4 linked regions of the Elephas maximus indicus genome follow. The protein of the gene in region 3 interacts with the protein of the main gene of each other region in a biochemical or structural test. Links are inferred from orthologs where the notes say so. Each region holds a gene or a part of one and is shown on either strand. Other genes may lie near its edges.

Region 1 (7,713 bases), on a different chromosome or scaffold from region 3:
TTTTGCCCAAGATCACGCAGTCAGCACCCAGAACAATGTATAGCACATAAAAGCACTTAGTAGTCAGTTTTCTGAAAGATAAACATTAACTCCAAGCATATGTATAACAAATGACTATGGGTTACTGGATGCATGGCTTTTACTGATCAGTATGGGAAGAAATCCTCAGATTTTAAATGATAACTGTTAGCTTCTAATTATAGACAGATTCACCCACTTCTAGTCAAAGGGGGCAAGCCTGAGTCCAGTGAAAAGAACTGTGGCGTATGGAAAAGAGCACAAGGCCTCAGCTCCATAGGCAATATGGCTTCCCTGCCTATTTCTGAGCAAATTTTTCAAGCTCTTGGGCCTCATCTTCTTCATCTTTAATATTAATGTGTGAAGATACTCTCTAAGGTCTTTTCATCCCTAAGTCTATGATTGCTATAACACCATGTTAAAACTAGTGCATTTCAAAGAATTAACATCACAAGGTAGAGACAAATTAGATAGGAACTAATTGTCCTTAAAGGATTTTTTGAGTTTTTACCGTATGCCCAGTACAGTGCTGGGCACCTGAAAGGCAGAGAAGGAAAAAGAATAACTCAATGAGATAACAGTTCAGTGGGGAGAGACAAGCAGGTAATTATACAGCAGAGAGGTGAGTGCTGAGAGGGATATGCATAGAAGCCAAAGAGATGAGGGGCTTATGAAAATTAGGCAAGGCTTTGCTAGGTGGAAGTAGCTGACAAGTGACCTTAGATTTGGGTGATGATAAATATAAATTGAGTGGAGGGTATGATATGTACCAAAGATATACATTTTAAAATACCTTATACCTTTAAAGAAATAATAATAAAATCAGCATTTACTTTAACAGAAATACTTTATCAGGCTGTCTCACCCAGTTGTCAAAGTTTATGAAGAAAAATTAAGTCGATTTCCTTTTAACAAATGTTATTTAACAACCAGAACACTCTGAGACACATATATGAACATCCCATGAGTGGCGGTAGCATGTCACTCAGGGACCAGAACCTAACAGGGAGCTTCAGACAACCCTGCTAGACTAAATGCTGTGTAGCACCTGGCAGACAAGGTGGCAAAGCCCCTATAAACAGTGATGATTCACTAACATGACATAAATCAAGATTTCTAACTCACCACAAACTAACATTTTGATTTAAAATCACAAATCGGTGCCATTAAAATTCATCAGCAGCCACTAGCACATGAGTAATGAGATCATATCAACTTATACCATGTGACCAAAAGGAAAAGGTGGTTTTCTAAATGGTAATTCAAATTGGACAAATAACACACTGTATCAAGTTTTGTAGCCCCAGGCCATATTTTGCTAAAAAACAAAGGTACATTATACATGACTAAAGAAAACAGGGAAAATCAGAGCAATTAATTTCCCAGCTATGTTTCCTATAAAAAGCCATCACTTCTACTAGTTGCTTACAGCACACACTTTTTTTTTTGCATCACACAATGATCTAAGTGTGTAATAACTTGCTTATTTCACTAAGATGTAATATCCTTCAAAACATCCTTATAGTGAAAATTTTCCAAAGAAATTATTGATCCCTGGAATGTCTCATGTTTTAAAATTACTGACAAATCCTTTCCTATTTTCTTTGCCATCAAAAATAATTCTTCTTGATCGCCAGTGTGTAAAGAGGTATAAAGTACAAAGACTGGATATTTTCTTAAATACAAATATCCCAGTTGACACAGGACATTTCCCATAACTTTCCCAAAACAATAATTAGGAGTGTTGTCACTGGGATTCTAAAAATACACGTAGAAAAACAGACATTTGTTGGTTTCAATTTAACAGACCAAGAGATTTCCACAAATGCTTTTTCAAATTATTTTTAAATACTTTTTAGTTGAACCCCCTCATTATTAGTGGAGCCTTTTGTGTTTCTTCCCAGAATTCAGCAACCTCTTCTCAGGTGGTTCTGCTTCAGCGCAGATATGTTTGGTACATTCTCTTTACATGTTCTAGGCAATTAAAGGGCTCTCTTCCTCTGTTTTCTTTCACTGGCACCTTTGTGGCTGCTGGAAGTCACTGACCTCACCTTGGTGATGGTGACTAAGAAAAGAGCAGTTCCTAATAACTCAAGGAAACCAATGGTCCCATTCTATGGGGAACAAATAAGAAGCACCCAGCATTCAGCTGCAGTGGTGTGACTCAAAAGGAATATGCAACTGCACCAGACGACTTTCTGAGAATCTTCTCTGATGTCTGCAACTCTAACACTACAAGGGACACAGACAGAAATAAGGAGTCCTGACAGAAAGGGGGACAGGGATGGGCACAGAGAATGAGACAGAAAAAAGGAGAGACAGAGTGAGACAAGGAGCAGAAAGTCATCCTCTAAATGACAGAGACCTAAAGAGCTTGGGAGAGAGAGGAAATAGAGACAGAGAGGGAGGGACAGAGAGACAGAAAAGGGTGGGACGGAGAGAGAGGGACAGAGAGTCAGAGAGACAGAAGCGGTGGGGAGTGAGAACAAGACAGAAAGCAAGGAAGGTAAAGAGGAAGTGGGAAAGAGAGATAGAGAACTTGAGAGGGACACAGTCCGAGGGAGAGACAGAGGGAAAGAGGAATAGAAAGGCAGAGAGACCGAGCAAAGTTCGAGACGCCGGGATCGACCCGCTGCGCACTTTTTCCCTCGGCAAGCCTCGGTCTCGGGTGGCGTAGAGACAGGTGGCTCCGCACCGAGTTGGGTGCCTGCGGGTCCTGCCTGGGCGGGTTCTGCGCCTCTCCGGCCTGAGGGGCTCTCTCCAATTTTCCAGGTTCTGGGGCTGCCCTAGGCTCGTCCTCCCGCCCCAGCTCCCGGAATGCAGGTCCCTACTCCCCGCCTCGGCGCGTCCCTCCTTCTCCAGCTCCCGGAGCACGTGTCCCTCCCGCCACTGCCGGTGCCCGGGGCTCCTCTTCAGCGCGGGCACCGAGGCCTCGAGGACCCGGCAGAGCCGCCCGCGCACAAAGCCGGAGCGGCCACCGCCTGACCCCTCCCCGCCGCTCCACGCCCGCGCTGCCCGCTTTCCTCCTCTGCTCGCGCGCTCCGTCCTGCCCCGAGCGGCGGCCGCCAAGCCCCGCACTCGCCCCCGCCAGCCCTGCTCCTCTCTTCTTCCCGCTCGACTCGCACCGCCTCGGCCGCCACCCGCGCGCCCGAGGAGGGGACCACCCGCGTGGGGACCGAACCGCACTGCTCCCGCCCGCCCGCGCCCGACTTACCCGCAGCTGCGCTCCGGGCACTGGCGTCCTCGGCGCGGCGGTTCCCGCACTGCCCGCGCCGACTCTGCGCCCCGCGCCCGGCCGCGCCGTCAACTTCTGGCCGCCGCCGCCGCCGCAGACGCCGCGGGACTTTTTTTTTTTTTCTCGCTCCTCGGCTGCCTCTGGAATTTTTTTTTTTTTTTTTCTTTTCACTCGCCCTCTCCAGCTCCCACTAGTGATTGGAGATTGAGAGCCAAGTACTTAGCGGAGGGATTACACCTCCCGACGCTCTTGGGGCAGCCCCAGCGCCGCTGCTGTGTGTGTGAGCAGAGGTGAGCGCGTTTGGGACAGCTGCCTGCATCTTTCCCTTCTACAGCACTGGATAGAAGGGTGAACTGCCAAGACTTAGTTGGCTTCTTAGAGCATCACTTCGGTTTCAACCAAATGTGTTTTCTTGGGCATGTTTAAGAGGGGGTTTAAAAAAAAAAAAACCCTTATAAATTGGAGGAATAAAGATTCGTTCACTATACATTGAGAGCTGGAAGGGACTCCCAGAGATAATGTAGTGCAGTGGATTTAATCCTTTCAGGGTCGTCGACGCTTTTGAGAAGTTGCTAAAACGTTGACACACCTCGTAAAAAACGCACACACACACTTCAAACCATGCCTGCAGCTTCGGATGGAGGTCTTAGGAGCTCCTGAAACATACAGAAGGATCCCCTAGGGAAATGAAATGTTTTCTCCTTACAGATACTTTTAAACTACTGAAAACAAAAACTAACGGCAACACACGCACACAAAATCCCTTCCGATTGTATTCGATGGAGTTTGACTATTGAAAAAAAAAAAACCATTGCCCATTCCGACTCACAAGGACCCTATAGGAGAGAGTAGACTTGCCCCATGGGGTTTCCAAGGAGCTGCTGGTGGATTTGAACGGCTGACCTTTTGGTTAGCAGTCATAGCTCTTAGTCACTGCGCCACTTAACGTCTCTACTTTGTGGTCACCTTCCTAAATCTTTAAGGGTTGAAACATTTTCTAAGGCGCTGAGTATAAATTAAGTTAGTTCACAGTCTTTGAGGGGAGAATAGTTAGCTTCATTTTAAAATCAGTTGTTTTGCCAACTCTATTTCCCAGGGAACCATCGAATGACTTCCAAACATTCTTTTTTCTCCCAGTGCCTTTCAGCTGCCCACCCCCCAGCATTACTTATTTCCTCTTTTTGTAAAATCTCTTCATCTTCCAAAAATACTGATAAACTCTCTCTAGTCACCATCAGGCATGTGGCTTCAATACTATCTTAACACAATTTCATTCTGAGTAGCTTTCCTCTCATTTTCTTTACATCTATTTCTGTTGCCTATTCAATTCCAAGCCTACTGTTTTCTTTCAACTGGTCCTTTTCCTCGATTTATTTCTATTAAATCTTTTTAGCAGGCAGGAAATATAATCCTTTACACTTATCAGTAAGAAAATTAATTTGATTGTGTATGAATTTATTTATGCAGCTCCCACTTAGGAGCAGGTGGTGCTCCAGATGTTTATTGATGAGCGTGTGAAATGTGGGCACATTTTCCCCATAAAAGCAATGTTAGAGTCTTCCTGAGAGTCTTTTACCCCATCATATATTAGAGCCAAAATATTATCAGGACTAACCTACATTCTGGTTCCAGGTGCCAGAAAGGAAGAAGAAAATAATTCTGTTTAATATAACACTAGGAAATTTTCAAAACAGGTGGCATTTGTCATTGGCATCCCTTACCTGACCTTTGTTATAGTTCAAGTGCTCAGTACTCATGTAACTGCATAGAGTCACAATGTAGACTCTCCTCATTTTACCCTCACCCCAAGTTGTCTCTGCTCCTAAATTACATTCCTCTTGGTCATCAGTTAAATTTCCCATCATCTCCATCCTCTGACATTAACTAGGTTTAGTAAAGAAAGAAGGAGCCTGGGTGGCACAACAGTTACACCAAAGGTTGGCGGTTTGAACCCACCCAGCAGCTCTGCGTTAGAAAGACCTGGCCATCTGCTCTCCTAAAGATTACAGCCAAGAAAACCCTCTGGGGGCAGTTCTGCTCTGTCATAATGGGTCACCATGAATCGAAAATCAATACCACAGCAACTGACAACAACAAAGAGGAAAGAAATCCACTTGAACTGGTACCCTTTACTGTAGGAAGTATGGATAACTTTTATTTACCAAATAAATATTTTTATATTACAATTTTAGTCCTCACGAACTACAGTGAAATAAACCAGACATTATGGTAAAAGTTTTTGAGCAGGAAGGGTTTGGATTGTCCATATCTTTTCAGAAGCTGTATGAAGGATCAGCTTTCCTTGGTTTAACTCTATTCTGCAAGCATCTTTCTGAGCTTCTGCCAGGAATAAGGCACTGACGAAGTGACTGCAGTCATCTCTGAGTACTGGATGGGGAAGATACAGATTACCCTTCAATTAATTTACAAGCAAGTAGATAAGAGCTGTGGTACACCACCAGGGCTCCTATTTTATTCCCATTTTAAAGATGAGGAAACCAAGGTAGTCAGTTAAGTTACATGAACAAAGCATAGTAAGTGAAAGAGGAAGATTTAAAGTTGGACAGTCTGGCTACAGGACCTCTATAGCAAAGAGGGCATTTTTAAGAATCTAATGAACACTAAAAAAAATTACCTAAAAATCTTGAATCTAAGGTAATATGTGAGCCTGATCCTAAAAAAGCATGAAAATTAGGGTACTTGGGTCCTTTATATTTTGTTAAACAGCTTCCTGAGCTTCCTGGAAAGCTAACAGCCAGGGTGAGGAGCTGTTGAGACCAGACTTGAGAACCAATGGGGTCTGGGGCTTTTAAAGCTAACATCTTGGTGTCAGTGTTCAATCCCCTTGCCTAGGCCCTCTGCCAAGTTGTGAATTTCCTAAAGATCTCTTCCCTGTCTTTAACTACTCTCCCCTGGCATTTGTATTTACAAAACCACTTTTCCTAGCTCTAGAAATGGGTGATTTTAGCTCAAAATCAGATTTTTCATGTCGTGTAGCAGACGACATCATAAGATAGTGAGATTCTTATCACAGAAGCGTTCGGTCAGAGGTAGGGATGGAATACTACCGAAGGGGTTCCTACAACAGATAGAAGAGGAGGCTAACAAATATCAAAGATACCTTTCTACTCTATGATTCTGTGTTTAACATACCTAATACGGAAATTTTTAGGTATTAATATAAGCATCAAGATAAATATAATTTATATTTATATAAACAATTTTACAATCATATTAATATATTAATTAGCATTGATAAATAGAATATGAGTGACTATACTGCTGATAACAATGTCACTTTGAGAGTGCACCTGACCCAAGCCATAGTATTTTTACTCACCTCATATGCACATGAAAGCTGGGCAAAGAATAAGGAAGACAGAAGAAGAATTGATGCCTTTGAATTATGGTGTTGGCGGAGAATATTGAAGATACCATGGACTGCAAAAAGAACACAAATCTGTCTTGGAAGAAGTACAGCCAGAATTGTCCTTAGAAGCAAGGATGGTGAAACTTTGTCTCATGTACTTTGGACATGTTATCAGGAGGGACCAGCCCCTGGAGAAGGACATCATGCTTGGTAAAGTGAGGGTCAGCAAAAGAGAAGAAGACCCTCTCGGAGCTGGACTAACACAGTGGCTGCAATTATGGGCTCAAGCATAGCAACAATTGAGAGAATGGCACAGGACCAGGCAGTGCTTCATTCTATTGTACATAGGATCACTATGAGTTGGATCCAACTTAATGGCGCCTAACAACAACGTATTGCTGATAATTCACCCTGGTGCATTATATATCAGTGATAATCTCACTATCAAAAAACACTTCAAATTACTCTCATATTTACATTCTAAACCTTTTACCATATTTTCTGCTGTTCTTTTTATTTAATTTTATATAAAGCACCTGTGATTTTTATATAGGAAGAAATAACACATAGATTCTAGTTCTGTAACAGATTAATTTTGCCCAATATGTAAGTTAAAGAAAAATAGAACTCAAACAGAAACAAGGCACAAAAAAAAAATCTGAAGAAGAAATGCTAAAATGATTTTATTTTCTTTTGGTGTCAACATTGTTCCAATTTTTCTTAATAAAAGCAGCTATAATATCCACCTATTTATATGCTGTCTAATAATTAATGTTATATGCTGATATGAATTAATCCCTTTGAAATCAGATTTTAATAACAGTATCATTTCAATATTATCTTTCTTTAAATTGTACAGAAAAAAAATTTTTTTTATTTCTAAAACCTGATAATTTTTTTTTTCTGAACCATTCTAGTTCGTATACCTACATGGTTCCTAAAACTGGAAAATTAGGAAAAAATTCTGCAACAAAGCTTATTAAAAAAAAAAAAAAGTCATTCTTACATCTGTTTCTTTGGAGTCTTATGTTCCTGATGACTTTTTCCTTCTAAAATGATTTGCCAACCTTGGAACTTTTCAGTGTTTTCC
Region 2 (8,336 bases), on a different chromosome or scaffold from region 3:
GAAAAAAAGGTAAGTGTTTACCTATATTTGCTTTGAGTTAATTTATGACTTTTAAAAAAAATTAACTCGTATTCCTCTGGAGGAGCCCTGGTGGCACAGTGGTTAAGAGCTTGGCTGCTAATCAGAAGGTTGGCAGTTCAAGTCCACCAGCTGGTCCTTGGAAACCCTATGGGGCAGCTCTACTCTGTCCTATAGGGTCACTATGAGTTGGAATCAACTAGATGGCAGTGGGTTTCGTTTTTGATTATTGCTTCTGGAGATATTTTCAGGGATGGTGTGAGAGAAAGCACTAGCAGAATTTTTCCAAGTGCCACAATATCATTTAATGAGGAATCTTTCCATTACAATACTTTAAGACGTGGTTGGCCCAGTCATACACTGGTTTGCATTTAACCTGTTGTGCCAGGAGTTACTGGACTAAGTTCTTAAACAATAGGAAGTTTGAGGGCTCCCATAGTAGCTCCCAGAGTTCCTTAAACATGGCCAATAAACTCTTGTATGAAATGCACAATTCATGAGTCATTGATACACTTGGGAAAGTTTAACTTGCAAATAAATACGTATCTGTCTTGTCTGGTTTAAATGTTTACCTTTTGGGAAAAAGTGCCAGTCCTGACAGGTTTCTTACTGGCCCTTTCAGCTTATGATTTTCTCTTCCACCCCTCACTATTCTGATCCAGTTACTTCATTCTTTAGAACATAATATTGACTTATTATGGTCCTCAGGATTAAGACTAAATTTCAGATTGCAAAGCCTTTTTAATTAATTACTCTTCAAGAATAGTCATGATGCAGCTAGACCAGTACTTCTTACATTTGTGTAATTTATAAAACTAAAAACCAAGCCAGTTCCTTTTGAGTCAACTCTGACTCGAGGCAACCTCATGTGCGTCAGAGTGGCTGATTTTTCAGGAGATTTCCAGCCTTTCATATAAGATTCTGGGTGGAATCAAACCACTAACCTTTTGGTTAGTAGCCAATTGCTTAATTGTCTGCGCCACCCAGGGACTCCTGAGTAATGTATACCTGTTGCTGTTGAATCGATTCTAACTCATCGTGACCCTACAGGACAGAAGTGAACTGCCCCATACGGTTTCCAAGGCTGTAATCTTTACTGAAGCAGATTGCCACATCTTTCTCCCTTGGAGCAGTTGGTGGGTTCAAACCGCCAACCTGTTGGTAAGTAGCTGAATGCTTAACCACTGCACCACCAGGGCTCCTAGGAGTAGTGATGAGTAGTGATGCCTTAAATAACTTTTATTAAAATATCACTTAAATGAACCATATTTACTTAGTTACATAGCAAAAAAGGCACTGGAATCATGGTTGCACGGTACACATGCATGTAATCTACAATATGCACACTGACTTCTTTACTATCATATTAATTTCTTTTAAAATCATTGTAAAGGAAGCAAAAGCACAAATTTCACAGATTTCACAAATGATTTGGAGACCTCCAAGAGTATATGTCGTTCTTTTAGTTTAACACATAGAAATGGAATCACTTTACTATAACCTCCTTTAACCCTGGCTTTGCCTTTCTCCTAAAGCAGTCTGGATGTCCACCCAGTCTTCAATGCTCAACTTAAAAGGAACAATCACTAAACCAACTGTAGTAGAACGGCCTCACATGGTTTCCAAGGCTGTAATTTTCATAGAAGCAGCCTGCCACATCTTTCTCCTGCAGAGTGGCTGGTGGATTTGAACCAGTGACCTTTTGGTTAGCAGCTGAGTGTTTAACCACTGAACCATCAAGGCTCCTCATCACTAAACTAGATATAAACTAATCTCTGCGTGCTGATAGCCGTTACACAACTATGAAAAACCAAAACCAAACCAAACCTACTGCCCTCGGGTTGATTACTGACTCATAGGACCCAATAGGACAGCATAGAACTGCCCCTATAGAGTATCCAAGGAGCGCCTGGTGGATCCCAACCGCTGACCTTTTGGTGAGCAGCTGTACCTATTAACCACTACGCCACCAGGGTTTCCTATGAAACCAAAAATAAATATGAACAAAGCTATAAAAATAATGTTTCAAATAACTGTTAATTTAGACAGATGATATTGTTTTGCTGGCCAAAAATGTCTGCACATTATCACAAACATGGTACTACTTCCTGCTAGATCAGGATGTTTCGGATTCTACATGCCCATTACTAAAGGAACAGTTAAAGGCTTATCAGAATTTGCGCATTCCTTCAACTATTCTTTTTTTTTCCCTTCATGAAACCTTTAGAAATTTAACTGCAGCACATCAACCCATCAGGATTTTCACCAACACCACTTCACAGACATTTTACCAATACTCTTCTAATGAATTTACTTCTGGAAGCTGGTATGTATAAATAAGTTGATTTTTTGTTTTATAGGTTTTAATAGAACATGTTCTGTTACTGTTATGGAATGAGGACGCTCTCTGGAACCAAAAGGAAATGGCTTCAAGATGAAAGAAAATCACTCGATGTAGTAATTTAAATATTTTAAGCAAAATAATTTTTTAAAGCTGCAATTTATATTCTGTACCACTTACAAACTGAAGAGTAGATGTGGTTATTGTTTCTAAGTCTAAAAGCTTAACCATAAACAGAGAAGTTTTATGTAAAATTTTATGGAATAAACTCCCCAAGTTTTATAGGAAAATTTTATACATCTCTTTTAGGCTGCTCAAGGCCTTGTTTCCTAATAGTTTTTGAAAGCTGCTGACTTTTAGAAATGAACATGTTGATATGGGCATAGAGGAGGAGATGCAGAACACAGAGGAGATGCCAATTCCCAATGCAGCAGGCAATTAATTAACAAGAGTCATGCTCCTTGAGATGTAAGATCGAGGAGATCTGTAAGATCGAGGAGATCTGTAAGATCGAGGAGATCTGTAAGATCAAGGAGATCTGAGAATCTTAGACTTACAGAAGATGTATGTCTTCCAAGGTACCGTACTGGTGTGATTTTCCACCAGAGTAAATTAGTGGATTAGATCTTGGGTTAAGGGAGTGGTTCTAAACAGGGGTTGATTTTGCCCCCCCGCCCCCCATGTTTGGCAATGTCTGTAGACATTTTTGGATGTCACATCTCTGGGGGGGGGGGTGGGGAGGCAGGACATGCTACTGCCATTTAATGGATAGAGGCCAAGGATGCTGCTAAACATCTCACAACAGACAACAGGAGAGTCTCCCACAACAAGGAATCATCCATTCCAAAATTTTCAGCTGAGGTTGAGGAACCTTGGGTTAATGTGGCAAAACCAGAGGCTGTATCCCTTTGTGGGCCTTTTTGCTTTACACACACACACACACACACAATCTATGTTACAAGGCCACAAACACTATCCAAAATCCTCCCAATCTCCTTGAATATCAATTAGTCACAGACAGGTTGAGTTAGAGGGTTTTGCATGAAGCCAGCCACACAATAACACCATCACTGAAAGGAACAGTTAAAAACATACAGGATTCATTTGCTCATTTATTCCCTTATTCAGCAAATCTTTATTGAGCACCCACATGTGCCAGACACTCTGCTAGACATGGTGGTACATGGTGAGCACAACAGACCTGGTCCCTGCCCTCGCGGAGCTTACAGTCTAGTGGGGATTACAACGAAGGTTAACATGAGGTCAGTTTGGAACATGAGGACTTCTTAGATGTACATGATCCAGGAACATTTACCCAGCAGCTTGAAAAGCTTTACATGTGTAATTTCATTTGCATCACACAACAATCTCATGAGACAAGCTTTATCCCCTTCTGAGTGGCTAAAAACATGCCCAAGGTCCCACAGTTTGTAACTGGCAGAGCAGACACTGCAGCCAAGTGACACTCGGGTCCCTGTTGTCCCCCATTGTTCCCCAGAGTGGGGATACACACAGGCTGTCTTCCATTGATTTGACCTCGATTATCCTCTAGTGATCCCCACCAATGTTACAGGTACCAAGTCCCTCCCCCTATGAAAAAAACGTCCCAGACTTTTCCATTCTCCTGCTTATATAATACCTGGAGATTATCTTCTAGCTCTTTCATGTATAGATATGCCTTGTGTTCCTAATTAGATTGTAAAATCCTGACCTGCAGGGACCAGATCTTCCATTTCCTTTGCAACCTTTTACAGTACTGCAGACAGTCACCCAATAAATGTCTGCTACATGAATGAACCTGTAGAGATAAAAATACTTTATGATATTCCTGTTTATTGATTTCATGCTTTTACTTTGCTTTGTGATAGGGCTGTGCATTATATGCTTCTAGAGGGCAGAGTAAATGGCTCAGTGCTTTCCTTACACTCAGCAGGCACCATGCAAAATTTGATCCTTGCATGCCTTTTGGATGCTCTGGATAATATTAGCACACTGGGGTGTTTTTGTGTATCTAAGGACCGAGGTTGTCAGCCTCTCTGCGGCGGGGAATGTTCCTTTCCTTCCACTGTAAGCTCCCATGGCGCCTAGGACAAGGCTAGATTACTGCAGAAGCCCCCCATGCATATTTTTATTACTAAGGAGGTCGACTGCGAAAATGGCAAGCTCTTCCATAACCCTGCGAAGAAATGAGCAAAGTGAAGGGGATTTGAAGGCACTTCAAAAATGGCCTGGATGAGAATGCTGAGGCTTCTCTGAGAACCCAGCCTAAGTCTGACAACCAGGACCCCAGCTGCGTGCTGGCCGTAGTCCCAGGAGGGAGCCCGCCCGCCGGCCCCGCGCGCCCCCGGGAGCTGTCCAGACAGCCCCGCCCGCCCGCCCGCCCGCGCCTACCTGGGCACTCACCCGCACTGCGCGGCCTCTCCTCCTCCCCACCCCGGCCGCGGGAGCCCGGCTGGGGCCGGCCCTGCCGCCTCCCCTTCTCCGAGGAGCCCCGCGGGCAGCGCGCTTGCAGCCTCCTCCCGGTCCGCAGGCCAGACAGCGCCGGGTGAGCCAGGGGCTGCGCGGCCAGGCTCGGCGGGGCTCCTGCAGGGGGCGCGGGGACGGCCCCGCCCCGCCGCCTTCCCTCTCCCTCCCGGCTCCCTGGATCCGTGCCGGGAGGAAATGATGTGTTGCTGCCTGGTTAATCACAGCTCCAGACACTCATTGGCCGAGCGCTGCGCAGCCACTTCCTCCTCCTCCTCCACCCGCTCCTCCCGCTCCGGCTCCTGCTCTTTGCAGCCGCCGCCGCGCCGCAACCTCCCCCTGCGAGCTGGGGGAACTTTTCGACTCTCTGTGACCGTCTTCTCCAGCGCCCCCCGGGGGGCGAGCCCCCAGCCGCCTGCCGGCCCCTCCCACGGCCATCCTCCCAGCCCGTGCCTCTGCGCCTCGGGAAGTTTATTCCGCCCGCCCTCCGCCCCTTCCTTCTCCTCCTCCTCCTCTTCACCCCGCCCTCCCTCCCTCCCCCGTGTCTTCCCCCGGGGTGGCTGCCGCTGCTGCCGCTGCCAGCCTGCTCTTTGGCCAGCCGCGCCGCGCCGTGCCGTGCCGTGCCGTGCCGAGGGCTGGGAAGCCCCTGGCCCTCCGCACCGCTCGGCTGCAGCCGTCGCCGTCACCGCCGCCGCCGGCCCTTGGCCCCGCAGAGTTCCGGGCTCCCTCGCCGGCTGCGCCGCCCCGCCCCGCCCCGCGCCCGCCGGGCCGCCCGCCCCGCGCCGCGCCGACCTGCAGCGCCCGGCTGGCTAGCACTCCACCTCCCCCGGCTCAGTCCCCGGCCGCGGCGGGACCAGAGGTGAGGGGAGGTCGCGCACCGCGTCTGCCCGAGCTGAGAGGACAGCGGGGGGAGGGAGCCTAGCGGGAGAATGGGCAGGGATTGGGGGTGGGAGGGTGGGCGTCTGCGGTGACTCCCCCTTGCTTTCATTCCTTTCTCCCCCAAGCTTGATCCACTCTTGGTGGGAGAGGCAGCGACGGAACAAAACTGTCTTGCTTTGGGCCGGAACTACTGGTGGGATATGAAGGGAGGCAGAGGCGTGGAGTGAGGGGGTCTCTGGTTTGCACTGGAGGGTGTGTGTGTGTGTGTGTGTGTGTCTGTCTGTGTGTGGTGAACTCCTTCGGGCTGTGCGCGTCTGACTTGGAAATCTATCTGGCTGCCTGGCCACCGGGCTCACCTTCCTAGCTGAGCTTGATAGAGAGTAAAGAGATGGGTGAATCCCCCCCCCCAAAAAAAATCCATCTCTTCCAAGAGTAATTTTCTGCTGGAGAGACAGCCAATAAACTCCGCTCAACTCGCTCCCTCCCTCCGTTCTTCCTAGCTGCAGTTTCAAAAAGCTTCAAAGCCAGGAATGTGGGATTCATCTTCCGATCCCCAGAAGGCAAATGTGGTTACAGATGTTACATGTTGCTTTGCCAAGTTTAAAACCCTTCCTTCAACACTGTAACCAAAACATTGGGGCTACAATCTTGGGCGCGCTGGGGAGAGATGTGTAGCTCTGGAGCCGCTGGATTCCATAACTTCCGTTGGGCTTTAGACTGGTTCAGCCCTGTCCAGTTTGTGCCAGACATGCCCCTCACCCTGTCTCCTCTTTTTCCCTGGGGTTTTGGACGCTCCATGGGAGAGAAGCTGTGGAGGAAGCCACTTCGAGGAAGAAAACGTTTAATTCAGTAGGAGAATAAAAGTCTTCGTTAAAAAGTTCTCATTCCTTTGACTTTTGGAGAGAGGTAACAAAGTAACGTAATGAATTTGTTAATTTTATTGGGCTTTCCTTTTTTTTTTTTTGGAGGTGTGTGGTATCAGTTATGTGTGTCCATACTGTTTTGTGTTTTGGGGAAGAGAAACCCTCGAACTGAAGCATAACCAAGTGTTTTTAAAGAATCCCATCCCAGATATGCAGACTGCTCTGACAGCTCAAGGGAAGGCGGTAGCAAAAATAGACACCACCTCCCTTTTCCCCAAAAAATTCTTCCTGGAAAGGTGGTGTGAAGAAGTTTTAGAGATGGGCTGATCCAAATGGCGGGCCTTAAATGGAAACACTATAGTATGTCCTGGCACTTGTCTCTGGAGGTGGGTTGCTGGCCCTGGGCCCGGGCTTGGGCAGCCCGCAGACACTAGACTTGTGCTGACCTCAGACACCATCCTTGCCATCAAGCAGTGTGCAGACTGCTTAAGTATGAAATATGGGTCTCACCCATTTTACCGGTGGAACACGGGTCAGGAGGTTATCCAAGGCCTGGAGAGAACCTGGATCGTCCATCTTCTGAGACCAGATCATATTCTGGTGATTTAGTTATTTTTGTTTTCTGGCCTGGAATGAAGTGGAAGTCTTTTGAAGCCGACATGTAGGCCTTATGTTGAAGTAATTGTGTTAGATGATAGCATTTTTGCTATCACCCTCATGCACATACTCAAAGGAGGTAAATTGATGTTGAGATAAATTCTGGGTACAAGATCAAGGGCTGTGATAGGTAGAGATTGAGTCATGCTCTCCTTTTCCAGCTGTATTGGTTGGTTTTACTTGAAATGGAGAGAGTGGTATTAAATGAAACTTTATTTAGCAGTTTCACAACTTTACGCCTTGGAAGAGAGTGATTATGTGAATTTGAAATTAAGTTCCTTGTTGCCATTGAGTAATTTAAAAGGATATTAAGAACTTGGAATAAAGATTGGATATGTGTGTCATATTCAGCAATGTAATTAATTTCATAAGTGAGGGATTTAATTCGATTAATAGCATTGTGGTTTTTTTTTTTTCAAACTAGTGATTTACCAAATTTTCTTCATGCATCCGTGGAACAGATAACAATGACCAAGCCAGTACATAAAGGCTATGACTCTGTCCTACTCAGAATTGTACAGATCTCATGATAGGCTTCTAGGTGATTCTCAGGGTTGAATTAAGTAGTCCAGCCTTGGGAAGGGGATGGGGAGGTAGGGCAAAAAATGGATTTGAAAATGATCCTGCTCATCAAGGTCATGATGTGAAGATGGAATCAATGCTTCTGTGCAGTACTTCCAGCAACAAGGAGCTGGGACTGGAAGCTGTCACCTGTGGCTTGTTTGCTGTTGGGCCCCTGCATTCTTGATTTATTTTTATGTGAAGCAATCTAATGTGTTAATTATTATGAAGAAGTAAACTCATAATGGTGGCAAAACCCCTCTGACATACTTTGGGTGAATTTAATGACAGATATGATTTGGAGGGGCTGGGTATGTGCCAGGCACTGTGCTCAGCTCTTTAAATGCATTTTTTTCATTACATTCTCACCACAAGCCTATGTTTTATTATTATTTTACAAGAAGAAATTGAAGCTTGACAAAATTAAGTTGCCCGAAGTCATACAGCCAGTCACTGATAGAGCGAGGATTTGAAGCCAGTGTTCGTGGGACCCCGCAACCCATGCTCAGCCACTTTCACTAGGGTTTACCAAACTTCATTCATTCATATACTGT
Region 3 (8,242 bases):
GAGGATGGAATGCAGGGATTATCCTTTCATCTCTAACACAACTCTCCCACTGGCGGTCCGTCTCCCCTAGGATCAATCGGCTTTTCTCTGCTTGTCCCAAGGGCAGATCATCCAGGAAAGATTTGTTGTTTTTAAATTGAGGGAGCGTCCGTGTTACCATCCTCTTCTTTCCATACAGATGGAGACGGACGTTTGTTGAGTGCTTTCTCTGTTTCCCATGCGCTATTCAAAGCCCTTTTCATGAGTCCTCAGGGGAACCCAAGGAGGCAGGCACTATTAGGACAGGGAAACTGAGGCTCAAAGGGGTGAAGCCCCAGGGTGTGAACCACCCATGGGACTCTAAACAATCTTGAAGACTTGATGGTGACCTCAGCTCCCAAACCCGCATCCAATGCACTCCCAGACCGCTGTTTCTGCGTGTTTGCATTCACTCATTTGTTCATTCATTCACTCAGTAAGCCATAACTGAGGTGGTCTTGGGGACTCTTTTGGGGGAAGAAGCAGGGAAAATAGTCTACTCCTTCTTCCGTAGGTATCGTAGGAAAGATAAGGTTCAATAGGAGGGTTGTGGGAGTCCAGAGGAGATTTTATCTCTTCCCAGGTCTGGCTACGGAACACTCTGTTGTCTCTTTGCTATGAATTGGAGTTGACTTGACGGCAACAGGTTTTGGTTGTGTCTTCATCTCGCAGGAGAAAAGATGGCACCCAGAAGAAGGGCCACTTTGGAGCCCTGGGTCAACAGGCTCCCTATGTGTTGGCTGTGCTTCTTCCTGTTCATTCAACAGGTATTTTATTGAGCACCTGCTGTGTCCCAGGCTCAAGGTGGGCTCAGCTGAGAAGCACGGAAGATGAACTGTAATGCTTCCTTGGAGGACCTCCCTGGAAGATGAGTGGACACTGACAGTTCAGCGGGACCGACAGATTCTCAGTGGCTTTCGTATGTAAATTGTGGCACCAACCTGCTCCCCTCTCCCCCAGCCTCACTAGTGTGTGAAGATCCCCCCAAAAGGTTAGAGAGGGGATTAAGAAGCAGAGGCTGCTGCAGGGGAGTAGCATCTTGATGCTGGAAGAAAGAGACCCCATTCATCTCCGCTGGGATCTGAGTCAGCAGAGCAGTTGCAGCGACTCTGCAGCACTGGGAGCTTGGGTAGGACCCGGGGGATGGAGCCATGTTTTTGCTCCCTGCTCCACAGGCCCTGTGCACTGGCTGGTCCCTCTGCCTGGAATGCCTGTCCCTCACTCAGGTCAATGACATCTGGGTCATTTAGTTTTTTCCGCCATCAGTACTCCTCTGACTTCCTCGTGGGGCCTGTCTGCCTCTCCTCTCACTCCAAGCCTTAATGAAGGTTCCTGGTCTGTCCCCTCACCTGAAAGCCATCTTCTTGATGGGGACCACTTCCTGGCCCACTCACGGCTCTATGCCTGGGTCCAATGCTGTCCCTGACACCAGGATGGCCACATAATTTGAGGGGTTCATGCAAAATGAAAATGAGGGACCCCTTGTTCATAGATGATCAGGAATGTCACGCAACAGCATTAAACTAATTGTATGGTTCACAGGTGGCCACCCTGTGGAGCCGCCCCCACCTGACACTCAGGAAGCACCCAACACACACTGAAGGAGTGAGTGGATACTGGCCAGTGGGCAGAGGCCCAGCCCGGGGAGGGGCCCAGGACCTGGCCTCTGTGGTAGTGGCCGTCTGGCCGGCTGGTGTCCACATGAATGACTAGGACCTTTGGTGAATAATAGCCGATCTAAGGCAAATTTCCAAGATGTGGAGATAACTCATATCTCCACCTCCCACTTCATTCTTTGGCCACCAGCCACCCACATGGCACTTTCAGACTGTAACCACCCAGAAGGGGGTCTCCACAAGTTAGAACTCTGTCCATCCAGCCCTTGCCAAATAGGCAAACGCCAGCCTCTCTGCTGGCTCTCACTGTCCGCAGTGGGTTTGATAATTCCCTAGAATGACTCGAAGAAACTATTACCTGTACTTACAGTTACCCCTTTATCATAGTGAGAAAGGCTACAAAGCGTTGCGATGTATCAGGCAAGGTCTGGGCGAGGCGTGGGCTGGAGGCTCTATTGTCCCCATGGACGTGCTGTGCCCTCTCCCCTGCGGGGATGCTCTTACCAATCCCAAAAGCCCCAAAGAGAGCACTGGAAGGACCAGAGTCCCCTAGTCATTGGGATCTCAGTGAATATGCATGACTGGAGCCTTGATGTGTTGTAGGTCCCGTCAAGTTGGTTCTGACTCACAGTGACCCCATGTACCACAGAGCGAAATGCTGCCTGGTCCTGCACTGTCCTCATAATCGTTCTGTTTGAGCCCACCGTTGTAGCCACTGTGTCAACCCATCTCCTGGAGGGTCTTCCTTCTTTTCACTGACTTTACCAAGCACCATGTCCGTCTCCAGGGACTGGTCCCTCCTGATAACATGTTCAAAGTATGTGAGATGAAGTCTTGCCATCTTCACTTCTGAGAGCACTTTGGCTATACTTCTTCCAAGACAGACTTGTTTGTTCTTTTCGCAGTCCATGGTATATTCAATATTCTTTGCCAACATCATAATTCAAAGGCTTCCGTTCTTCTTCCGTCTTCCTTATTCATTGTTCAGCTTTTGCATGCGTATGAGGCGATTGAAAATATCATGGCTTGGGTCAGACGCACCTTAGTCCTCAAAGTGACATCTGTGCTTTTTTAACACTTTGAAGAGGCCGTTTGCAGCAGATTTGCCCAATGCAATATGTCATTTGATTTCTTGACTGCTGCTTCCGTGGGCGTTGACTGTGGATCCAAGTAAAATGAAACACCAAGCATGAGGTCCTCTTCCTGGTGGTGGTCCCTCCTGATAACACGTCCGAAGTAAGTGAGACCAATCAGACCCTGCCATTCTAGTTTCTAAGGAGTCTTAATGCAGAGTTAGGGTAGAGCCAATCCATGAATACACTTGCAGTCAAGGGGTGACCTGTGTAGCCCCCTATTTATATATACTTATTTAAGTTTGGCCTGGCTGTTTCAGAAGGACAAAGGGCACCTTTGTTACTCAGGTTATTTTAAAAAACCAGAGGCAAAAAGCCAAATGAAGTTCTTTGTCCCACAGATCTGCAGGCTTGCATATCTCTTCTCCTGGCTGGGCCTCTCCTCTCTCCACCCATGTGACCCCTTAGGCTGCCATCTTGTCCAAAAGCCCCCAGAGACCCAGAGGGCTGCATGGCAGATCTGCTCTGCTCAGGAGAACTGGAGAAAACCTGGCTCCTGGGAGTGTCTCTCACCAGCCCTCCTGCCTCAGGAAGGACCAGCCTGGTGGCTTTCTCCAGCCCTTCAGGGGGGTCAGCTAGGCCCCTAGCAGAAGCCTCCTTCCCCAAACTCAGCCTAAACTTTGTCTGGGTTCCCTGGTGACCCTCCACCTACCCTTGTATGGGAATCAGTGGTTTGTTTGTTGGCCTCCTTGGGACAGCCCTTGGGGGGGGGCATGGTCCTCACTGCCACTGGGACAGCCCCTGGCGGGGGGCATGGTCCTTACTGCCACTCTGAGTAAGGGGTTATTTTGCACCCATTTTAAAGATAAGGAAACCGAGGCTCCAAAGTGTAGTGATCACTGAAGTTCCCTCAGCTGGCAGAGGGGACCCGTAGGCTGTAGTGGTCTGGGGGCAGCGGTCAGCCGGGCACACCATGGGCAGCTTAGTAATATTTGTGGAAGGAAGAGTGAGAGGCAGGAGAAGGACAGAGGCAGAGTAGCGGGCGGGTGAGGTAAACTGCAACAGTAATTCCAGACAGCCAGAGAGCTCAAGAAAATAAAACGAGTGCGTGGGGGTGAGGAGGGAGGCAGCCTTAGCTTTGCTGGCTTGGGAAGGTCTCTGGGAGGCAGTGGCCGCTGAATAGGGACCTGGTGGTGGAGAGTCTTCTACCTGGGGAGAGACTGAGGGCATTGGTGTTGGGGAAGAGTTTCTAAAAACAAAACCTGCTCTCAACTTAGAAAGCCTCTGCACAACAATGGAAGAGACAGAAGAGTTTTATTCTTGAATAAGCACTGAACCCAAATGGGATGCATCACAGGCAATCAGTCCAGGAGAGAAATTGCCAAGACAAAGGAATCCGAGGCTTTAGAGAACTGAGTGGATACAGCCCATTACATTCACGTTAAAGATAAAATTGCTAATTTTCCAGTGTCTTCGTGGCAGGACACCTAAAGTTATGTTAATCTCCTTCCAGGAAACTGGGAGGGAGGGGTGTGAACTTCCTTGATGATTACATTTCAAAAGATGTCTCCCAGGTCCTTGAGAAACATTTTTTTTTTTTAATTTTTAATTGTGCTTTAAGTGAAAGTTTACAAATCAAGTCAGTCTCTCATACAAAAATTTATATACACCTTGCTATGTACTCCTAATTGCTCTCCCCCTAGAGAAACTTATTTGATTTACATACTTTTCGGAAAGACAAAGATCCAACCATTACGAGTTATCTAAAGTGAATTCTGCAAGAACAGGGGAGCCTGGTCCCCTGTCTTCTGCAGAGAATGAAAACCTCCTATTTTCAGTTTGTATTTATTTGTCCTTACAGAGGGCGGGGGCGAGGGTCAGGGGGAGTTTCAGGTGGCCAAAGTTAAGCTGTGGACAAGTCTGGGGGGGTGCGGCGGGTCCGCGTGGTTGGAGTGAGGAAAGCCAGCGAGTGTGTCGGAGGGGGGCAAACGGACGAGTCGGGCTCAGGGGCACCTCCTCTGAGAAGTCCTCTCCGATTCCCGCGCTTCCTCCACGCCCCTCCCGCCGCTCAGCTTCTGCCCCCGCTGCCCAGATCCTTGGGTCCGGCTGAGGTCTCCTTCCCTGTTCGGACTACGAGCCCCGAGAGGGCAGGGCCGGGTGGGCGTCTTTCCTCCCCAGGCCGGCGGCGTCTGGCCTGGCGCTGGGCACCCTGTGGGCACTTGGTCAATATTTGTCGAGCGCGCTGGAAGGGTTGAATGAATCCATTGGGCGCAGCAGGGGGGAGGGCGGGGCCGAGGCAGGTGGGAGGCCGCCGGCGCGGGAGGGGCCCCTGGAAGCCCGCCCTCCTCCTCCTCCTCCTCCTCCCAGGCCCCAGCGCGTTCGCTCTGGGGCTCCCGAGGCGTCTTCTCGTGCGATCAGGGGCGCGCAGGGCGGGGAGAGAGATCCTGGGGCCCTGCTCTCGGCGCCGGAGGTCGAAAGCGGGTGGGTCGCTGTCGCCGGATTGGAGAGCGCTCTCGAAAGGAGTGGGAGGAAGGAGCGCCCGCCCGCCGCCTCCCCAGCGCTCGCTCTCCAGGCTCGGAGGTTTGCGGCTGCTCCTCCCACCCGCGCCAGGCTCCTCGCTCGCTGGAGCGGGTCTCCAAGCCCCGCCGTGCGCCCAAGCGAGTGCAGGGCTAGGGGCCCCGGAGCCAGCCCGAGTCGGGGTGGGGGTCCGGGCAGCGCACAGCCGGCCGGGGAGGGGCCATGTCCGGCGCGGGTGCAGCGGGGCCCATCTGCAGCAAGTGACTGAGCGTCGTGGACGCCGCTGCCCCCCTCCGCCACCTGGGGCGGCGCGGGCCCAGGTGCCCGGAGCCCAGTGCCCTGGCCGCGCGGAGAGCCGGCGCGATGCACGTGCGCTCGCTGCGCGCCGCGGCGCCCTCCAGCTTCGTGGCGCTCTGGGTGCCCCTGCTCCTGCTGCGCGCCGCCCTGGCCGACTTCAGCCTGGACAACGAGGTGCACTCGAGCTTCATCCACCGGCGCCTCCGCAGCCAGGAGCGGCGGGAGATGCAGCGCGAGATCCTCTCCATCTTGGGCTTGCCCCACCGCCCGCGCCCCCACCTCCAGGGCAAGCACAACTCGGCGCCCATGTTCATGTTGGACCTGTACAATGCCATGGCGGTGGAGGAGGGCGGCGGGTCCGACAGCCAGGGTTTCTCCTACCCCTACAAGGCAGTCTTCAGCACCCAGGGCCCCCCTCTGGCCAGCCTGCAAGATAGCCACTTCCTTACTGACGCCGACATGGTCATGAGCTTCGTCAACCTCGGTGAGTGCGGGCAGGAGGAAGGGGGAGCACGCCTCGGCTGGGGGGCGCCTTGCAACAGGGAGGGGGGTGACTTTTTACATCTAGCCTCCCACCTTTCCGCTCGGCGGGTTTCACAGCGGTCAGTGCCTGGCTGAGAGTCTTCTACCTCCGGCCCTAGTGGAGCCCAAACTGTGCTCGCCCCCAGGTAGTGTGAGGCAGGCTCAGCTGGCCTGTGGATGTTATTGAAAGTGTAGAGACCCGCCCGAAGCCCCCTTCTGGTTACGCCGCCGGACGCACCTCTGGGGCAGCAGGCGCCGGCCCTGGTCGCGGCTGAGTTCAAAGCGCGGGGCTCGGTCATGTGAGCTGTCCCTGGCCGGCTCGGCGCTCGCTACCTGGATTTAAAGGGCCCTTCTTGGAGAAGCTGCCTTCCCGCCCGCCCTCGGCCCCGCGCACCCTGCCTGGCCCTGGCCTCCGGTGCAGCGCGACCCGTTCCCCGCTCTGGCAAGCCCTACCTGTCCCTTCGCGGTGCGCCCGCCTTCCCGTGCCGCGCGCCTGGGGAGCCTGGGGGCCTCTCCCCGCCGCCGGCGCCCCCCTCTCTTGGTCTTCCTGCCGGAGCCAGGGAAGAAACGTTGCCATTGCGAACTTTCTATTTTAAATATTTAATGATAGGTCCCGGGCAGGCAGAATCCATTTTCAGCGTTTATCACGTGTGGCGCTCAAACCACCGGTTTTGGCGATTGGGCGGCGCGGGATCTCGGAACAGACGCCGCTGGGGGCGGCGGGGGGACAGGGCTCCCGATGAAGCCTCTCCTGTCCGGGGAACGAGGTGGGGCTGCGGCGGTGCCCCGCGGCGCCCTCCATGGCATCCCCGCATGATTACCAAACTCGCTCAGACTAATCCCGGGCCGCGCGCTGTAGGACCGATGATCAAATATTTGGTTTCCGAGATAACACAGCCCGATAGCGCTGTTTCCTGAGCCGCTTTCATTCTACCTGTGTAACTTGCAGGGAAAATCCGAGCAGAGTCAAGACAGCAAACTTCCGCCCACCGGCGCAGTGTCAACTTGGAAATAATGACCCTAAATCCCCACGCCGGCCACCTGGGGAGTGGACGGGGGCGGGGAAGTGGGGATCCGCGTGAGGGCTTCCCGCCTCTGATAAGGTCGGCGGAGTCCAGGGGACGCCATTGTCCACCCTAAATGATAGCCCAACTCACATAGCGAAATGCGCTTCAGCGAGCAAGGAGTGGGAGGTTTAGATGGCAAAATAACATTTAAAAAGTTGAAGTTATACGAGGCAGCCTGTTGAGAACGAGGCAGCTCCTTATGCCCTGATTGGAACAATCTCTAAGATGTACGGGGTGGAAACAAGCCAGGTCCAGATCAGTGAGCCTACATACATGTTTGTATATCGTCCATGTTCTAGCAGAAGACTCCGTGAACTGGAAATAAATTTTACGGGGGGGGGGGGGGAGGGGAGGGGCAGAACTGGGACTGGGACATAAGGGGGGGAGTCGGGTTTTTCAATGTCCTCACTTTTGCCTGTGACTTTTTTCTTGCCGTGTGTGTTTATTGTCTGTACCAAAAACTAAAAAACAATTCTAAAAATAAGAATAAACGGAAGTGGCACTCTATAGCAGTACTGATTCCCGGGTTAACCAGGGCCTTCTCTCTGGCTGGGATTTATGGCATCTGCTGTTGGGTTGGGTATCCGGGACTCCCAATGCTGCAGGTCCCAGCTGCCGCCTTCAGAGATCAGCCGGGGTCATTACAAAGGCATTTGGGAGCCCTGGCTTCTGTAGAGGGCTCTGCAAACCCATGCAAAAAGCTCTAATGCTTAGTGACTGGCAACTCGGCCAGATCCTGGGGCCCCCCCACCCCAGGGGAGGAGCGGTTTGCTCACTGGATGCCTTTGGGAACTGGGGGCAGGGCTGTTTGCTCCCGTGGGTGGTGGGAGCAAGCCAGGACTCGCCTGGGAAGGCCACAGCTGGGTGGTTTTCCTTCTGGCTGTGCACACACCTTTCAACCCCGCTAGTCCCATTTCTTTCATCTTGAAAGGACAAAGACCGGCTTGTCTGAGCCTCTCAATCAGCTGGGCTGGCTTTGGGCTTTGTGGGACAGCCTTGCCTAAATTTCTCAGGTCTAGCTTTCTGGAACATCGCTCCAAATTAGATGGTGGAGTGGCTTTAACAGGGCGCTCTAGGAGTGTTTTCTCTCTCTCTCTACTGAGGGTAATTAGTTAGGTGAAGGCCTGGACTC
Region 4 (7,787 bases), on a different chromosome or scaffold from region 3:
TCTATGAGACTTTTATAATATACAATACAAATTACTAAAAACATGAAATAAAAACAATGACAAAATATAAGCCCAAATATTTTATTAGTTTCCACAAGGATAAATTTCTATGTGAAGTTTCTAAAAAAACTTTCTACATTGTTGTTGCAATGTCTATGCTTATCTCATGGAAGACCAGTAACAAATAGTTTTAAGACCAGCGCTGGTTTATGAACTTACTTTGAATAGCTCTGGTTTACTCCATCATCCTTCACTGGGATTGGTTCTGGTAGTATATCTCAAAGCCTGACCTATTCTTTATTGGGTAGGACTGCCCAAGATACTGCACGACATTTATCATCCTAGCCCCAGGACACTGAAAGCCAGTGACACCATCCTCACCAGGCATTGTGCAAACCAACACACTCCCTATCCCCCCCCATTTCCAGCTGTTGCGGGGAGGGTCAATAGCACCATAATCCAGAACCACGGGGGGTGGGGATGGGTAAGGAGCCCTGGTGGCATAGTGGTTAAAGCGATGACTGCTAACCAAAAGGCCAGCAGTTCGAAACCACCAGCAGCTCAGTGGGAGAAAGGGAAAGACGTGGCAGTCTGAGAACCCTATGGGGTCACTATGAGTAAAAATCAACTTTATGGCAGTGGGTTTTTTTTTTTTTTTTTGGTTGGGGGTGGTTAGGTGTTCTTTGTGCTGCTGTGTAGCATTTAGAGTTGGCACTGTGGTTATCGTTCTGGGGAGATCTAGTTCTTAAGAAAGCTGAACAGGTGTGGTCATGAATATAAATTAGAGGATGGGGAAAGAAAAAAACCCCTCCCCAAATTAATCCTGTTATTTTTGTTTCCCACACATTTACTGGATCTTGAAGGAGGGGATAGTGGAAAGAAAAAGTCCAATGTTACCCTTGGGATGTTACAGAGAAACTACTTGTTTGCTGCGATTTATAGTACTAGCTGGGTTGCAGCAGGTTTTTCCCTCAAAGGGCTGGATACATATTTCCATCACAGCTAGTTTCTCTAAACCCTTTTAACTCACTCGCCCCACTCTAAAATATTCTGCCTAATGTTTTGTCTTTCGTTCATTCCCACATCTTTTTTCTGCTCAGTATGTGTCTTTTTGACCCCACTTGGCACAGTGCTGGAAGTAAATAGAAGTGAAAGGAAGAGTATAAGGGGAAGAGTAAGCAGCAATAAAAGGCAGGCTGCAGCTAGTTTTCTTCACACCCTGGCCACTCATGAAGATGAGGATATTCTTGGAAGATATGCTGTTATCTGCCTTCCTTTCACTTACTAAGTTATCAAGTTTATTCACGTATTATGCTTTACAGCAGTGGCATAAAAGAAATTTGTTACTTGTGCCAATTAAAGAATATCTATATTATCTCAACACAGGAATGGACTTTTATACCAGCTAGAAAGCAGCAAAAATACCTCTAAATTCTTCATGTAAGGAGAACTCAGTATCTTTCATACTGCAAAGCAATTCAGTCATCTTCCTGAAGATGAAGTAAAAGTGTTTTGGCTATTGGTAGGTCTAAAGTCAAGTGAATGCCTTAAGATGAAATTTCCCATGATGCATGGCATACGACCCAATTTCTAAAGCAAGTTAAATTCCAGACCAGTTCAAATTCAGCCCTACTTCAGAGCTGAAGGTTTAAACTTAGTCCATATGTTTTGGAGCCACATGGGGTTCTAGCACAAAAAGGAATCATCCTTTATTCTGGAAGCAGTCTGTGACTCTCATTTACCCGTTTACTCATTAAGCCAACACATATTTAAATCTCTAGATTGAGAGATTCTTCCAGTTGGGAAAAACTTGCAATTCAGATGAACTTCTTGGTGGGACTCTGGACTTTAAACTCCAGCATTAGAGTGGTTACAAGGCAAGGTCTCAGGTTTGGGTAGTGAGTGATGTTAACTGAAGCTATTTGCCCCATAATGCTTTGGCAGACTGGAATTCCTTTCATGTTGCCTCTCCTTCCTTCCCAAATCCAGGTTGTAAAGCTGATACTGTTGTTATGGAAGTGTTGGATTTGGGAATAAGAGAAACTGATTCCAGAACATAGGGAGGAAAGAGGGGCTCTAGGGTTAGCTGTAGCTATCTCCATCTTCTTTTTATGTTTTGGAACTTACATACTCCCATCTTATTAGGTTAAATTATTTTTGAATTTTTTTAAATGCAGGAGTAGGGAGTTAACACTGATTTAGGTACAGAATGCTTGACTGTTGTTACTGGATGTTAATAACGTCCCATGGGATTATTTAACTGTTTACTTAAAGGATATTTTAGTGAAGCTCCTCTTTAATACTACAGAATACTGCTTCTCTTACATTCTCATGCTGGAAAATGTGGGTGGTAAGATAAGGAATTTATTTTCAAGTTTTAATCCTATTACTTGTTATTCCAGTTATTCCACTTTCTCTAGTTTCACAATTCAAGAAATATTGAAGAGATGCAGAGATAAGACAACAGTGGGGCCTGATCCAGGGTATAACTAACATCAAATTCCTGAACGAACTGAAGGTGGTTCTAAGTCAAAAACACTCTTCCATTCCAGAAAGTTAGTGGCAACTCTTGATTCAACCAGAGAATGGAAGATTTATACTTACTCCACTGACCAGCTCACAAAGACAAGAGAACTGCTTGACATGAGATCATTCAGACACCCTGAAAACCAATTTGGGACTTCTCTTAACTATTGCACAGTATCAGCGAAATTCAGAGCTCCATGACCTGAGAACTGGAAATCTTGCAGACAGTCTAAAGAGCCACAATAATTATTAATAACCTTGACAAGTCGTAGAAATGGGCAGATAATTACAGGATGAACTTAATAGACAGAAATACAGAGTAATTTAGAGCAAAAGAAAAAGAAAACAAATACAAAGGAGAAGGCTTGGCTTTGTGGGAAAAATGTAGGAGTCAGTGAACCACACGTAAAACATGAATATGCCATATTAATAGTTGCTTTATTACTATTTCATTATTTTAAAAAGCACAAAAATTCATAATATATATGCAGAAAATTGTGTTTAAGAAAAAGGTCATACCCTAGTCATTCATACAGGTATTTGTTAAGCACCTTTCATATGCTAGACACTTGTGGGTGCTGGGATAAAAATGAAGACAGACAAGATCCCTACCTTCAGGAGCTCACCGTAGTGTGGTAAATGACAGAGCTAGTTTCTTAACATAGTCTTTAGCTTTTATTCTGTAATCAACGTCGAATGCAGAAAATACTGAGTTCCTTGAGGTGGGGATCTATTTTTTAAATTTTGTATCTTAATACGTGCCTACGACAGCACACCTTGTAAGCAATCAACATGGATTAAGGGGCAAAAGAACCCGAAAATAACTAAAATTTGAATAAGCAAATACCTGTCAAACGGTCAAATACACTGATGGAAATCCGCAGTTTTTTCCTCAGCGCGTGATAAACACGCATTTGCGAAACTATTGTGTGCACAACAGTTCTCCACACAATGCTTTGTGTAAAACAAGGGACTGGTGGGAATGGACTCAAATCGCACATCGTGCGTGGTAACTGGTGTGGACACCCTGACTAGGCGCATAGCCCCCATCCTCCGTTGATTTCTCCCCCTTCCCCCGTTATTAGCCGAAAGACAAAACGCTTAGCAGAAGCCACAAGGGTGGGACGCACCGCTAAGGCTGGGCGTACAGACACCTGCTCGTGTGCACAGGGCACGCTGGTGGACAGCTCTCCAGGCGCGGTGGACGGGCTCCCACCCTCGGCTTCCACACATGCGGCGCCCGGAGTCTCGGAGCGGACGAGGCGTCCCCCCAGAGGAAAGACAGGGTGCCGCAGACGCCCCCCGAAGGCGTCACCGGCCCCCCACTCGCTTCGGTGTCCTGTTCCTTTTGGGCTTCCCCTGACCACTAAGACGTGCACTCAAGAGAGGCCAGGGGGCGCGATTTGGAAACCAGGAGCGTACGACCCACAACCACATCCACCCGCCCACCGCACAGGACCCACAGCCCAGCCACAGCTCGGGGGCTTTGAGGCGCCCGCGCCCCTTTCTCGCGGGATCTCTGGCCAAAGAAGGCCGGACGCCGAGGCCTCGCGGTATCGAGCCTCCGTCCGCCCCGCCCCCTCGCCCTCCAGCCGGCCCCGCCCTCGCGCTCTCACCCCTCCCCCGCTCCCGCCTCTTTTCCCCGACAATCTCCTCGCGCTCCCGGCCCGGCACGCGCGCTGCGCCCGGCCGCCGCCGCCGCTGCCGCCACCGCCGCGCGTTCCTCCGCCGCGCCAGGCTTCTAGCTTTGGGCCGGAACCGGAAGTCTGGGGGGCGGGGCCCGGCGGAGGCCAGGGGACCGAAAACGCGGCCGAGCTCGGAGCCCGGAGCCGGAGCCAGAGCCTGGACCAGAACTTGGCCACCGCCTGCACCGCCGGCGCCGCCGCCCGCCGCTCCTTCCCCACTCCGCTTCCGCCGCCTCGGCCGCCACCGCCGCGGTTTCGGCCGCCAGCGGTCCGCGGACTTTGGGTGTCCGGGTTGAAGGTCGGTCCGGTCGTCGGACCCAGCTCGGTTCTCGGACTGTCCGGGCGGCAGCGGGCGCCGCCGCCACCGCCTCCTTGTCGCCTCAACCTGGCATTTTGTTTCGAGAGACCCGAGAGGCGAGCGGAGCTGACAGTGATTTTGACAGTGATTTAAACCCGCTTTTGTTGTTGTTGGCTTTTCGTTGTTTGGTTTTGAGTGTTGTGCGTGTGTGTGGCGGTTTTCCCCGTGGTGCATTTTTTTTTTTTAATTGTCGTGCCTTTTTTTTTTCTCCTTTTTTTTTTTTTTTTTAAACCCCGTGAACGTTTTTTGCTCGGGGTTTCCGAATATGTTTTATGACGGTTGATTTTACACCAGGAGGTTTGTCTCCGAGGAAGACCCGGGGAACTGGATATCTAAAGAGAACTTCCTACGGATTCCCCGGCGCCTGGGGAAAATGGGAGCTGCTGCGAAGTTGGCGTTTGCCGTCTTTCTTATCTCTTGTTCTTCAGGTAGGTGCAGGGAGCGCGGCGGGGCGGCTGCTGCTGCTGCTGCCGCCGCCGCCGCCACTGCCACTGCTGGCGGCGGCGGCTGTTGTTGGGTCACTGAGCTCCGGTGGAGCCTGGGGAGGTTCTCCCCCCACCCCGAGTCGCTCTGCTGCCACCCCCCAGGTCTGATTGTGATCTGGAAACCTCCATGGATTTTCCTCGTTTTGAGGAAGGTTGGCGAACTGATAGAACTGCTCTGTTGTTGTGAAAGTGAGAAAGTCATGGTTTGTGGCCATAACACTGGATGACAGCGCTGGTTGAGTTGCACTTAACCCGCAGATACCACAAGTGACAATTTATGCAAAGGTTGAGACCCAAAAGGCGTATTCAAAAATGTCATTTAGTGTGGGGATCCTTCAAAAATACGTTTTCTTTCTTCTTTTTTTTTTTTTTGTCTTTAATTAGCGCTTCACTCCTGACTATTACGACGCAGATCAGGTCAGTTGCTGCTTAATTTTGACAGTGAGAAGCAGTGTATCGTATCAGCAATTTCATCTGGGTCTCCTCTCACGTTTTCTTCAACTTCAGTGTCCAGCAGTGTTAAAAATAGTTGTAGTTGTTGGAGTATTAACTATAACCCGGTGCAGAAGAGGTATGCCAGTTGTGTGTTGGTAATTTGCTGGCATTCAGCCGTCATTTGGGAGCTCTTTTTGGGCATTGATTTTGCTTACCTACTTATTTTAAATGTTTTGTGTTGTTTTCAGGTTAGAACTGCTCATATGAAATTGTTCTTATTGTTAAATACCTGTAGTCATAAGATAAATTTTGGCCCAAAGTTGAAAGAATAATCTGGCCATTTTATATTTGAAATTTGGATTTTGTGAGAACGTTCTGTGGTTGCAACCAGTGGTCGGAAAAACTAGTCTTTTGTACTTGAAATTCTATAAATGAATACAGCGTCTAGCCTAAAGGTGTGCATATGTACATAACAGGAGAGTTAGTTCGAGAGATGAAACAATTCTAAAGTCACTGTGGATCTGTTAATCATAAAATTCAACTAGTACCCAGCCACTGATTGTGGGGTAGCATTATAAGGGGGGAAAAAAAAACGAATTGATAGGTTTCATGGCCATGTCTTTATCTTGTTTGCAACAGGGAAATTAGAGGGTGGTAGCCTTTTCTTTGTGTACCTCTGTGGTGTGTGTGTGTGTATGTGTGTGTGTGTGTGTCCCGTCCATCTTTTCCCTCCTCCGAGGTGGGTTTTTTTTTTTTAATAGGATCTTTTGTAATGTATAGAATTTTGCTGAATGGTACGCTTCCTTGTGGTTAATAAGTGGATAAAGTCTAGTCTTATGTCTGTAGTGGTATTGATCAGTTCCGGGTGGGCTGAATGTGTTGTGAAATGGCGATCATTGCCAGAGATTAACCAGAAGAATCATGTCTGTTTAAATGGAAGAAGGAACATGCTTAAGGCAGGCTGACAGTTCTTTTTGTGCACGGTTTGGGGAGGAAGATAAACAATGGTGTGTCTGAAATGAATGAAGGCCTTGATAGCATTAGACCTTTTGCTTGTGTGACATGACTTAACCATGTAGTTTTTATTTTTCCCGTAGTACTGTTTCTCCTCTGCCCCTCTATGTTCTGGTTGGTGAACTCTTGTTCAAATCCCTTTTCTGATCGCTTGCCCTTGAGGAGGAGGGGCATCATGGCCACTGGAAGGAATTGTGGACATTATTCCCTCCCAAACCCACCTGAATCATACTAATTGGTGAATGCCGTTATTCTTGAGCAGTCTCCAGGTATTCCTTCTGAAGAAGCAGGAAGGCTGTCGCTTCAGATGTTACAGCCGCCTCTGTGGGGTTTAGGACTAAAACGAATTGAGCATCAGTTTCTTGAAGGATTGTTTTCCCTGGGCCAGGAGTTTAATAACCAGAATTTTGAAATAGTTTTGATGTTGCAAAACATATTCCACTTATATGAAACTAATAGTAAATACTCTAGCCTTGGTTTTTTTTTTTTTTTAAATGAACATTCCTAGTTGAACTAAGCTGTGTGATTCTGTTGAAGGTAACTGAAATAATCATGAAGACCTTACTCCATATTTATACCTGAACATTTTTAGTACTTGAATTGTTTGATTTTCTTTTAAAGGGCTTTTGTTGTGAATCAAATGCACAGTAAAAAGGGCTTATTGTGTTTCTCCTCCTAATTGATTTCTCTATGTAATATATGATCTAGCATGTTGGAAGCATGTCGATGGCTATTTTTATGAGAATTGGAGAATTTCTCAAGTCATCAGTTTGTTGTTTCTGGATTTTTTTTTTTTTTTAATAAATGGGAGCAGTAGTAAAGAACAGTTTTATTTCAAGTGTGTAGGATGAATGTTTACTGTTTATTTTAGTGTTTTGTGGACTTTTATTTTTCAGTTTCCTTCCATGTGTTGTGTATTCTCTAGACCAGTTACGCAGGCTGTACCTGTAGGATATAAAAAACAACAAAAAACCAAACCTGTTGCCTTCTAGTCGATTCTAACTCATAGCTACCTTATAGGACAGAGTAGGAAACTGACCCATAGGGTTTCCAAGGCTGTAATCTTTATGGAAGCAGACTGCCACATCTTTCTTCCATGGAGCATTTGGTGGGTTCGAACTGCCAACCTTTCAGTTAGCAGCCAAGTACTTAACCACTGTGCCACCAGGGCTTCTTTTCTTGGAATGCTTCAGATTTCCCTTATTTTGAATTTTTTCATTCCTTTTTCCATCCTCAGGTTCTGTTTCAAAATATAAATCTCCTTCTTAGTTTTTGTGTTTTTAT

Evidence for each region.
Region 1: the proteins of BMP7 (region 3) and BMPR1B form a complex in vitro, tested with the Homo sapiens proteins (2 studies listed by BioGRID). The link is inferred for Elephas maximus indicus from reciprocal best matches to the Homo sapiens genes BMP7 and BMPR1B.
Region 2: the proteins of BMP7 (region 3) and ACVR1 form a complex in vitro, tested with the Homo sapiens proteins (2 studies listed by BioGRID). The link is inferred for Elephas maximus indicus from reciprocal best matches to the Homo sapiens genes BMP7 and ACVR1.
Region 4: the proteins of BMP7 (region 3) and ACVR2A are reported together in a solved structure, tested with the Homo sapiens proteins (2 studies listed by BioGRID, with this or other methods). The link is inferred for Elephas maximus indicus from reciprocal best matches to the Homo sapiens genes BMP7 and ACVR2A.

The regions. Positions count from the first base shown.
Region 1 is NC_064823.1:59,706,373-59,714,085, forward strand, and holds the start of BMPR1B (bone morphogenetic protein receptor type-1B), read right to left. Parts: upstream 3,484-7,713; 5' UTR 3,233-3,483; intron 1-3,232. UniProt on the Homo sapiens protein: On ligand binding, forms a receptor complex consisting of two type II and two type I transmembrane serine/threonine kinases.
Region 2 is NC_064824.1:55,167,836-55,176,171, reverse strand, and holds the start of ACVR1 (activin receptor type-1), read left to right. Parts: upstream 1-5,075; 5' UTR 5,076-5,681; intron 5,682-5,788; exon of another isoform or gene 5,789-6,607; intron 6,608-8,336. UniProt on the Homo sapiens protein: Bone morphogenetic protein (BMP) type I receptor that is involved in a wide variety of biological processes, including bone, heart, cartilage, nervous, and reproductive system development and regulation.
Region 3 is NC_064843.1:11,986,447-11,994,688, forward strand, and holds the start of BMP7 (bone morphogenetic protein 7), read left to right. Parts: upstream 1-5,078; 5' UTR 5,079-5,587; coding exon 5,588-6,005; intron 6,006-8,242. UniProt on the Homo sapiens protein: Growth factor of the TGF-beta superfamily that plays important role in various biological processes, including embryogenesis, hematopoiesis, neurogenesis and skeletal morphogenesis.
Region 4 is NC_064824.1:44,701,920-44,709,706, forward strand, and holds the start of ACVR2A (activin receptor type-2A), read left to right. Parts: upstream 1-4,226; 5' UTR 4,227-4,942; coding exon 4,943-4,997; intron 4,998-7,787. UniProt on the Homo sapiens protein: On ligand binding, forms a receptor complex consisting of two type II and two type I transmembrane serine/threonine kinases.